Linked DNA regions of Kluyveromyces lactis. The protein of the gene in region 1 binds, or shares a complex with, the protein of each later gene. Links are inferred from orthologs where the notes say so. Each region holds a gene or a part of one and is shown on either strand. Other genes may lie near its edges.

The links. The genes of interacting proteins can lie anywhere in the genome.
Region 2: DDC1 (region 1) and RAD17 share a complex: the UniProt entries of both Saccharomyces cerevisiae proteins name them as parts of the checkpoint clamp complex. The link is inferred for Kluyveromyces lactis from reciprocal best matches to the Saccharomyces cerevisiae genes DDC1 and RAD17.

What each region holds. Positions count from the first base shown.
Region 1 is NC_006041.1:1,722,567-1,727,867, forward strand, and holds DDC1 (Ddc1p), read right to left. Parts: upstream 3,195-5,301; coding exon 1,533-3,194; downstream 1-1,532. Other genes in the region: RSA1 (Rsa1p), read right to left, coding at 1-209; pyruvate transporter MPC1, read left to right, coding at 960-1,334; APL5 (Apl5p), read right to left, coding at 3,384-5,301. UniProt on the Saccharomyces cerevisiae protein: Component of the checkpoint clamp complex involved in the surveillance mechanism that allows the DNA repair pathways to act to restore the integrity of the DNA prior to DNA synthesis or separation of the replicated chromosomes.
Region 2 is NC_006042.1:15,555-19,996, reverse strand, and holds RAD17 (Rad17p), read right to left. Parts: upstream 2,316-4,442; coding exon 1,203-2,315; downstream 1-1,202. Other genes in the region: RPS12 (40S ribosomal protein eS12), read left to right, coding at 547-951; ubiquitin-protein transferase activating protein PEX22, read left to right, coding at 2,460-2,930; KLLA0_F00286g (uncharacterized protein), read right to left, coding at 3,859-4,442. UniProt on the Saccharomyces cerevisiae protein: Component of the checkpoint clamp complex involved in the surveillance mechanism that allows the DNA repair pathways to act to restore the integrity of the DNA prior to DNA synthesis or separation of the replicated chromosomes.

The sequences.
Region 1 (5,301 bases):
TGGTGCGGATTCGGATAGAAAGGATGGTGGGTCCCATATCTCATTCCCATTGGTGCATGCTGCATAGCGGGGACACCGTATTGGTTGGGTTGATTCATCTGAGGTATCGGATAATACTGCATTCGCGTGGTTTGTAACGTATGTTGCAAAAGATTATTATTCACAGATCCGCCCTGTGAAGAGTTATTGTACACGTTTTGACCATTCATGTTGCTCGAATACTCTTCCCTGGGGCCTTTCTTCCCATCATATTCATTAATTGAACAGATAGAGATGAGATGAGATGAGATGAGATGAGATGAATAGATAATGAAAAGAAATTTCCTACGTTCACATACATAATGTTCTGGAGAAAGGTGTTGAAGTTTTAAACCGGTAACTGATGCTTCGTAAACCGTGAAACATATTCTGAAATATGTAACAGTCAAACAGGCTCATAAGGGTCCCCGCAAGTCATTCCACTGGTGCTATAGCTTTTACGCAGTGTCATCTATATCACGTGACCTTACTGATATACGTCTTCTTATTACCAATCATAAGAGAGACGGATTTTGACCAAGTTAACCACTGAGAGTAATCAGAAATCTATCCCCCAATATGTCGGCTTATAAGTTGGTGGTTATGCGGCCCCTCCATGTATGTAGTTTTATACCTCTTACTTCCATCAGCTGTGCAGTGGGTAGTCTCTCACCAACGGGTTTACCAGTGAAAATCGTATTGCAGCGGTGAATTTTTCAAGCTTCGAAACCTTGAAGACTTTTAAAGCTCAACAAAAATGTTTAAATGTTTTCAGAAAAGATTTAAAGGTACATTGAAGAACTTCTTGGTACTCGATCTGAGTTATTAGTTGGCCTCTCGTTTTCCCATTCATTCATTGTTATCCTTCTTTTTTTAGTTTGGTTTACGTTAATATTAACTCAGTAAATTATACTTCGGCAACAGTTTATAATCCCTGAATCATGTCCCAACCAGTACAGAGAGCTGCTAGTCAATCTTTGATTTCCAAATACATTAACAAGGAAACTTTAAAGTATGTCTTCACCACACATTTCTGGGGTCCAGTTTCAAACTTCGGTATCCCAATTGCTGCCATCTACGATTTGAAGAAGGATCCGGAGATGATTTCTGGACCTATGACGCTGGCTCTAGTGATGTACTCTGGTGTGTTTATGAGATATTCCCTAGCTGTTACCCCAAGGAACTTCTTGTTATTCGGTTGTCACGTTGTGAATGAAACAGCCCAACTTGTGCAAGGTTACAGATATTTAAACCATCATTATCTAGGTGGCAAGAAAGCTGACGCTACTGACGCCAATGTCGCCAAGACAGCCTAGATGCAAGAGAAAATGTAACCTGCCGACAAAACAACATTCTTTCTCCCATGGCTTAGATTACACTACTGTGTAGGTCTGTTATCTAAGATTTAATGCTAAGTTTATTTACGTACTGTATATTATATGTCTATATGTTCAATTACAGTTTATGAATTCATTTCGAAATGAAAAATAAAGTACTTCTTTCGTTCTTTATTATCAAGAGTCGAACAAACCTTTAGGTCTGTCAGCTTGTGTGGGACCCATGCCATCATCTTCTTCCTGTAGATTGAGATCTTCTTGGATTGCTTGTCTTTTCAAATTATTTAGATAAGCAGCCTTGTTCATTTCTCTTTGATGAGATTCATCTGTACCGACATTGTTCGATTCAATTGTTCCTCCCCATTCGACAGTTGTTCTCATTCTCTTTACTGGCTCGCTAATTGACGGCTCGGTTGTTGTGTTCGATGGTGTTGACTGGGAGCCAGTGTTTGAATTGGGAGTAGTGTTACTATTTTGTTTCCCCCACCTTTTAAACCTGAATTGCCTTCCTTCTTCGTCTTCGTCATCATCATCTGCTCCATCCTCATCCGTTATAAATAGTGAGCGTTTTGTATGTGGATACAGCATCTGCTTACTTTCCGGCCTTTGAAGCTTATCTGGTTTCACTACGGTATCCTTCTTGATTGGTGAAACTATCTTTTCTGGTGACAGGTTAAATTGGGTGACAGAATCCTCTGGTTCTTCGACCCTACCCTCGGTATCAGTTACCTGCACTAATTCCAATACAACCCCATCTTTTGTTATTTCAAAGAGAATGGGGTCACCAGGTTGGCAAAACCAGATTCTTATCATGTCATTTGTTTTCCAACAATTAAGTCCATTTAAGAATACTTTGAAATCTCGTAATTTGAACGTAATGCTCTTCTTAATACTTTGTGATCTGCTTGAAGGTCTCGAACCGTCGTTTTTTTCTGTTGAAAATATGCAGTAATGTTCTAGATCATTTGCGCTACATGTATTCGTTACTGTAACTGCTTGTTTGAGGTACCCTTGACTTTTCATGTTGTACACGGCTTTTGTAAATCCTATTATGGCTAGAGTATGTCTCGTCAATTCCAATTTTATTTCCTCGATCACATTAGACATAATAGAGTCAATGAAGTTTCTTAGTATTGATTGATCAAAACTTAAGAAGTTGATTTCGTCGTTAACCGTCAACGGTGTATTTTTCACTGTGCTCACAATATTGTGTTCATTGGCGATACCTCTATTAAACATATCATGTTCTAATTCTGTTTGTAAAGATTTGAAATAATCCACTAACCGAGGATCTAATGATCTGCCCTTACTTTTGTTGTTGTATACTGAAAGGAATTTTTGTTTATATTTCAGACTTAATATGATCTGAACACTTTCCAATGGATCAAAATTAACTTGATATTCTTTAGTTAGCAAAGATGCTGTCTTCATTTTGATTATGAGTTTGTTAGCTATAGTTTCAGAACAATTATCACAATTGTCGATAGTTAACATGTATTCTTTAATTGTATCCTCTTGTTTAAGTGATAATAGGGAAAGATACTTTGCATTCGCTTTGAAACTATAAATTGTGTGAAGAATGTCATTACAATCGGTGATCTGCTGCACTCCAGATTCACCAAATACAATCTTCTTCGGCTCGAAGTGATACTCTGTAAAGAACGACTTAGGAAATCGTACCTTGGCCATGGTCGTGTCTGTTGCATTCATGGATGATATCAATACACCATTTTCGGTGATTGTTATGAAGACATCAGGGTTTATTTGAGAAAGAGTTGCCAAGCATTTACCCCATATGGTCTGTTCATTCGTGCTGTTTATGGAAGCACGAAATGACATTGCAATGGCCTGTTGTCACAACTTCCAGTCAGAATCCCTTTATCTGGCGGTGATAAAAAACTCTTCACTAGATCTAAAGTTCGTGTTTTTTCTTGCAATTACGTGATTTATCTTTTTACAGATTAAATATTTGAACCTATGTCTATAAAGAAATAGTGCGAATGGATTAGTGATTATATTAATCTGTTATTATGATTCGTTTGGAGCTAGAGAAATTGCTGGAGTTGAAGCTTTTTCAGCGGGCTCTTTATATTTTTTCTTAGTCTTTTCCTTCTTACTGCCATCTTTGGTTTTCTTCTTCTTTTTCTTTTTAATAACTATGACTTCTTCTTTGTCATCTTGGATGGCTGTTAAATTGTCACTAATGTGTTGTTCTGCAAGTTTATTTTTTAGCTTTTCCAACTCCTCTTGATCAACAGTGTATTCACCGTCGTAATCAATGTTATCCTTTCGACTAAAATCAAAAGATTTGAATTTATTCGATGTGGAAAGAGTTATCGCATCTGAATGCCCAGAAGTATTTGATTTCTTCTTCCCCTCCTTTGTGATAGTGGATGGTGGAGCCACTACAATATCTGACAAAATTTGTACAGATGGTGACTTATTAGATTTCTTCTTTTTCGTCGAAATTTTGATGACGGGTTCGATTGTTTTTGTTTCACCCTCATCATCGTTATCACTCAATTCTATCAATTTCGTTTCTGCACGGTCAATTTTATCATCATTCAAATAAAACGGATTATCCAACCTCTCTTGTCTTCTGCGCTCTTCTAAAGCAGCAAGTTCTTCTTCTGTCATTGAAATGTCTTTCTCTGACGAGATATCCTGAGTTACAGATCCGTCAGAACTTCCAGCGCTTGCAGCAGATTTAACGCTCTCCTTGTCGGAATAATATGCAGCTTCATCTTCATATAGTTCTTCATTTTTCATTAATTCTTCGAGTTCAACAGAAGATAAAAATGGAGTGTCTAAATCGAGTGTTAACGCCTTAACCAACTGCTGTTGTTGTCCGTGTGACATTGGGCCAAGTTCATACTCATTGAAAAGACTAGGTAAAACGTCGGTAATTAATAGAGGTAACCCTTCCGTTTCATCTTGCAAAGCATCTTGACAGAGTTTTAACATTTCATAGAACTCTACGCTTCGTTCTTGTATATCAAAATTCGTTGATCTGTATTTTTGTTCCATGAATGCGATTAGTGTAGAAAGAAGATCTGATATTTCAGATTTGGTTCTACCCTCTGTGTTAGCATAGGTTGAGAATAATTTCACTAATGCAGGAATCATTGTCTGTATCACGGTGTCTGGAAGTTTATTGGCTTTGTTTAGGAGTATGCCAACGAGAGTGTCACAGTTATCAATTAACTCGGAATATTCCCCAAAGCACCATATTCCTTCCTTTAGTAGGTTAGGAAGCTTGGCGATAATATCATCGTTTGTAGTCAATTTGATTAATTGTTCTAAAGCCGCATCCCTCATGCTTGGAACTTTGACCATAATGTTTCTAAAGTTATCACCTAACAAAGTTGATACCTCTAAATTATTCAAATCTTGTGAAACTATACAGAGATCCGTCAATATTTTCAAGTACCAGTCGAAGTCACCATTGATATTCTCGTAATCATTTATACAACAGACATCTAAGACAGTCTTGGCAACTTTCACTTTATAGTTTAAAGGAATGTCTATTTGAACACCTTGATCATTGACATGCACTGTATCCACATCCACAAATTGCTTGATTAGAATTCTAACTAAATTTTTGATGTTGTCAGTTGATGCTATACCAGAGCATAATTCCAATACTTTGGTTCTGATCGATATATCCACATCTTTCAACAAGCCTATCACCAATTTATCATATTGCATAATGAATTCGAAGTTAATCTTACCAATATGATAGAACAACACACAACTGATGTATCTCAAGTTTGGATCAAGTGATTGGACAAGCGATTCCAAATGGTTCAAACACTGATGTGCGGTATCATAGTCATCTTCTTCCAGCATTTGACCCTTTACAATACAGTTGATCGATTCATAAATCACAGAAATGGCAGTAGTTTTATCCATCAATTCTAAAACTTTTGGTAGGATCTTATACCGT
Region 2 (4,442 bases), on another chromosome or scaffold:
TTTAAACTACGAAGCGCGACCCATGCTGTTGTATTCATCACTTCTAATCTTAATGAAAAGACTTGAACAAGATTAAAATACCAGTGACTGTCATATTTGTTTGCACCCGTACATATTCCAAAATCCTCCTCAAATCTGAAGAAAACTAAAGAATTTCCAAATATGGCATCTACACGTCAACATAGTACGCGCCACCACGGACTAGTCTTAAGAAAAATGTTCACGAAAACACCTGGACATTACAGCGAAAGAAAAGGACGCAGTTGTTCTGCCCTCCGCTGTCGTCTGTTGATTCTGAAATATCTTAAGTGTTGAACGTATATAGTGCGCTAAACCTTAAAGTTATTTTTCACGGTGAATGGTGGAAGCTTTATATTTTGAATTCCCATGATTTAAGCTAATATGTTGAAGAGTATTGAATAAAACGTTTCGGATGGTCTTCTTATTAGTTTAGTATGTTTTTAGTTTTATGTTATTCTAAAGTCTTCACGGAGCAGTACCACTGTCGAAGAAGTCAATACTTTAGAAAATTTTATCAAATTAGAAATGTCTGACGTTGAAGAAGTCCAACAAGTCCCAGTCGCTGAATTGACCATCGAAGATGCCCTAAAGGTCGTCTTGAGAACCTCTTTGGTTCACGATGGTTTGGCCAGAGGTTTGAGAGAATCTGCCAAGGCTTTGACCAGAGGTGAAGGTCAACTAGCTGTTTTGGTTGAATCGGTTACTGAAGAAGCCATCAGCAAGTTGGTCCAAGGTTTGGCCACTGAAAACAACGTTCCATTAATCAAGGTTGCTGATGCCAAGCAATTAGGTGAATGGGCCGGTTTGGGTAAGATCGACCGTGACGGTAACGCCAGAAAGGTCGTCGGTGCTTCCGTTGTTGTTGTTAAGAACTGGGGTGCTGACACCCAAGAAAGAGAAATTCTTTTGGAACATTTCAGCCAACAATAAATGAGTGGATTTTGAATCTATGTTCAAATCCAATTTAACGCTTCTGTTTTACTCATTTTTCTCATACTCAACAATAACATAAACAGATTTCTTCATGGGAATATGGACATTGTTTGGTTTGATAAAATGCTCTATTTTATAGTTTGTATATATATTCTAGGGTATCTATATGTTTACAAATAGTTTCCATCTATACCTAAAATGACGTTAATTCCAACCTGATTAATTCAGCTTGTCGAAGCAGGGTTGCGCTAGAAGAATAGCGGCAAATCTTGCGAAGCAGCTTCATACCCGTCACTATTTTCCTCTTCTTTATCGTCATGTGCAGTTTTCTTCGGCGGTTGTTGTGTATTGGGAAGGAAATTATGGCGCGATTCACTTCCCATATATTCAATCATCATTACTTTTATCTCATTTACGTCTGGAAGCTCTGGAAGAGCTTTCTCAAGCATGCATATCTCAATAATTATCCCAGGATAATGACTTGGTAGATTGTTACCTGAAATGGCTCTAGTCCTCTTATACTCCTGGTCATTAGGTCTTAGTATATCCTTCGTTTCATTCAATATATTAACAGTCATCAAACCATGTACATCTCTACGTATCATGATTTTTGAAGCAATCCGAGCACTGGCTCGTATTTTGTCTAGCATTCCATAATCAAAAACACTTATCATTGGATGATCATATAAGAGGGTGGTTGAATCATTTGCGTATATTTCGAACTTCTCTAAAATCGATCTCTCATTAGGTAATATGATCTTAGATAAACCTTGTTGAGATCTTGAAATCAATGCGAATAAGGGCTTTTTGGTGGTTTCGTTATGTATCGCATAAAAATAGCAATCTTTGCATCCAATTTCCTTCAAATCGTGTAAGGCATTGTGTAAGACATCCCCTTTTATTATGCATTCGAATTGCAGTCGCGTTCTATCTAGTACCAACCCAGTGTTGTCTAAGTCTTTGAGCAGATATGTTGAGTATTCGACGCTTTCAGTGATCATGTTATCTTCGAATATTAATATGAATGGGGATCCATCCCCATTATATGTTAAAGTACACTCAATTATATCGTTCCGATCGTTACTGATATTCAAACTATCCAATACATGGTCAAGCCGCAGGGATACCTTGGTCAAAGATGTTTCAGTTATCGGGCTATAGTGAAAGGTTTGAAATAACTCCCGTGAAAGAACCAATTGGATCTTGATTACATGATTGTTTTCTTGGGCAAAGGACAAACCATTTTTATCTATGGTGATGAGCATTTCACCTTTCACTCCAAAAGGTGTTAAACAATTCAAAGCCGTCACAATATGATCCAAATGGACAGTCGTCGCATAAAAAATAGGAGAATCTATCATTGTGGGTTGCCGAAAGATTAAGGGTTCAAGATGTTGACGGTTCTCTGGTTTCTACTTATTTATGTATTGTACATACTGATATATTGTTTATAAAAACAAGTGAAATGGAATCAAAATCATAAATAGAAACCTCATTGCCATTATATGCGAGGAGATAAGGAAACCACCAATTGGCTAAACAAGTCCCTTATGAAGCAAGCCCGGCAAAAGAAGCTTTCGATTATAGCTGTTGGGGTATTATCGACAGTGGCAGTAACTGTAGGTTATTTATTATATCTGTATCGTGGCCAGCGAAACCCGAATATAAGAGACGTAAAACCAAAGTCGAAATGTTACGTTCTTACACAAGACTTGTTCGATAAGATCGAAAATTGGCAAGAAGAACTATCAAAAGACAGCGTAATGTTAGTTTTACCAGAAGTTGCCCACTTAGGAAATCATTTAAAGTTACAGCTATCGTCTATTGAACATAAGATTGTCATCTTTAACAATTCATCGGCCGTTTGGAGTGCAGTTAGGCATTTAAAGAAATACGAGTTGGTAATAAGTCGTGATAAGACTTCTGATATGCCAGTAGATCTCAGGAGGTATGTGGGACAGATTTCGCACATTTGAAATCTGAAATTTACATCAGTTTTAATGTATGCTATTATAATAGTACTATAATGTTTACATCGTAAACTTATCTCTAACAGAACTTCTGGCTGAATGAAATGGTTAGAAATCTACCATATTGAAATTTGCTATTGAACTGCAATGCATACTATGCTTGATGTTCGTGATTGTGTATTCTACAAATAAAGAGTACTCGGCTATAACAACAACATGCAAGCTGAAGGACTTTATTAAACAATCAAGTACTGTAAAAGCAGAAAGCCGACATACGCATTGTATCACCCGAAGAAGGTTACTAGATTTCTCACATCCTTACTCCTGCCTCAACATGCACTGGAATCAATATAAAAAAAAACAGCATTCCTTAACAGAATGGCCTCAATGATATAATATTAGGAACTGTCTTAGAGACAGGATGGTATAGCACAGCATAGGGCCGAAATAAAATGTTATCGCCAATTTCAAAACTGATCTTCATTACCTCTTTATTTTGGCGCTTATATAATTGATCCTAAGGACCAAAGGATAGTGCAGTGAAGTGTAGCAAGACAATGTTCTTTTGAGGAAATAATTGGACTGACAGTTATTAACTGATATTTCAGCAACTTAAAAGAAAGAGTGGCTTGTTAATGCTATTTGATATGCAGGATCAACAAAGCCATAGTAATAGCTTCCACGATAACACAAGAAATTTCTGCTTATGTGTCTTTGGAGCTATTTATGGATTGTGAAAGGCTCTATTCGTACTCGTCCACATAGCGATGCCCCATTTTCAAATATACAATATTTCCATAAAATGACGTTCTAGAAATGTGGATATATGCAGTTGAAAAGAACAGAGCTTTGGGTAAATTTGTAGAAATTGACGAACGATTTACAGAATGATAGTTGCTCCATCCCAAAATTATACACTCCTACTAAAGGTAACTCATAGTGGGTAGATAAATCTTTTGTTTTCAAAATCGGTAAGATCTAGCATGGCTAGATTAACTCTTTCGTTGACTCCTTCTGTGAAAGAAACAATACCAAAGTTGTCTTCTGGATGTTCTTGAACCCATTGATACCTTTCTTTGTTCCTTTTCGCCAAAATGTATCTGATTGTTAACAAAATAACAATATTAAGGAAGAATGAAACCACAATTTGAATAATCCAGGATGGATAGTATCTTGGGGCATCCTTTGGATTCCAGAGTTGAGGAGAAATGATGTTTGCAGCGCCATATGCCAACATAAACATTACGTTCCTGTAGAGTTTCTTGGTATAACCGGCTGCAGATGATGTCGTCCATCCCAAAGCAATAATGTATGTGATACCCTTTGAGGAGCCGGCTAAGATCATACAGGCTAACAACGCATATTTGTTGGACCAATCTATTGTAACCATCGCAATACTGGACGCAATTGGTAGAATCAGACAACCGGCTGCAATATAACCACTTTGATTTGGATAGTTGAGGATAACAAAAGCGAATATCAAGTACAGTAGAATGTCCCAAACACTCCCAGCCGCAG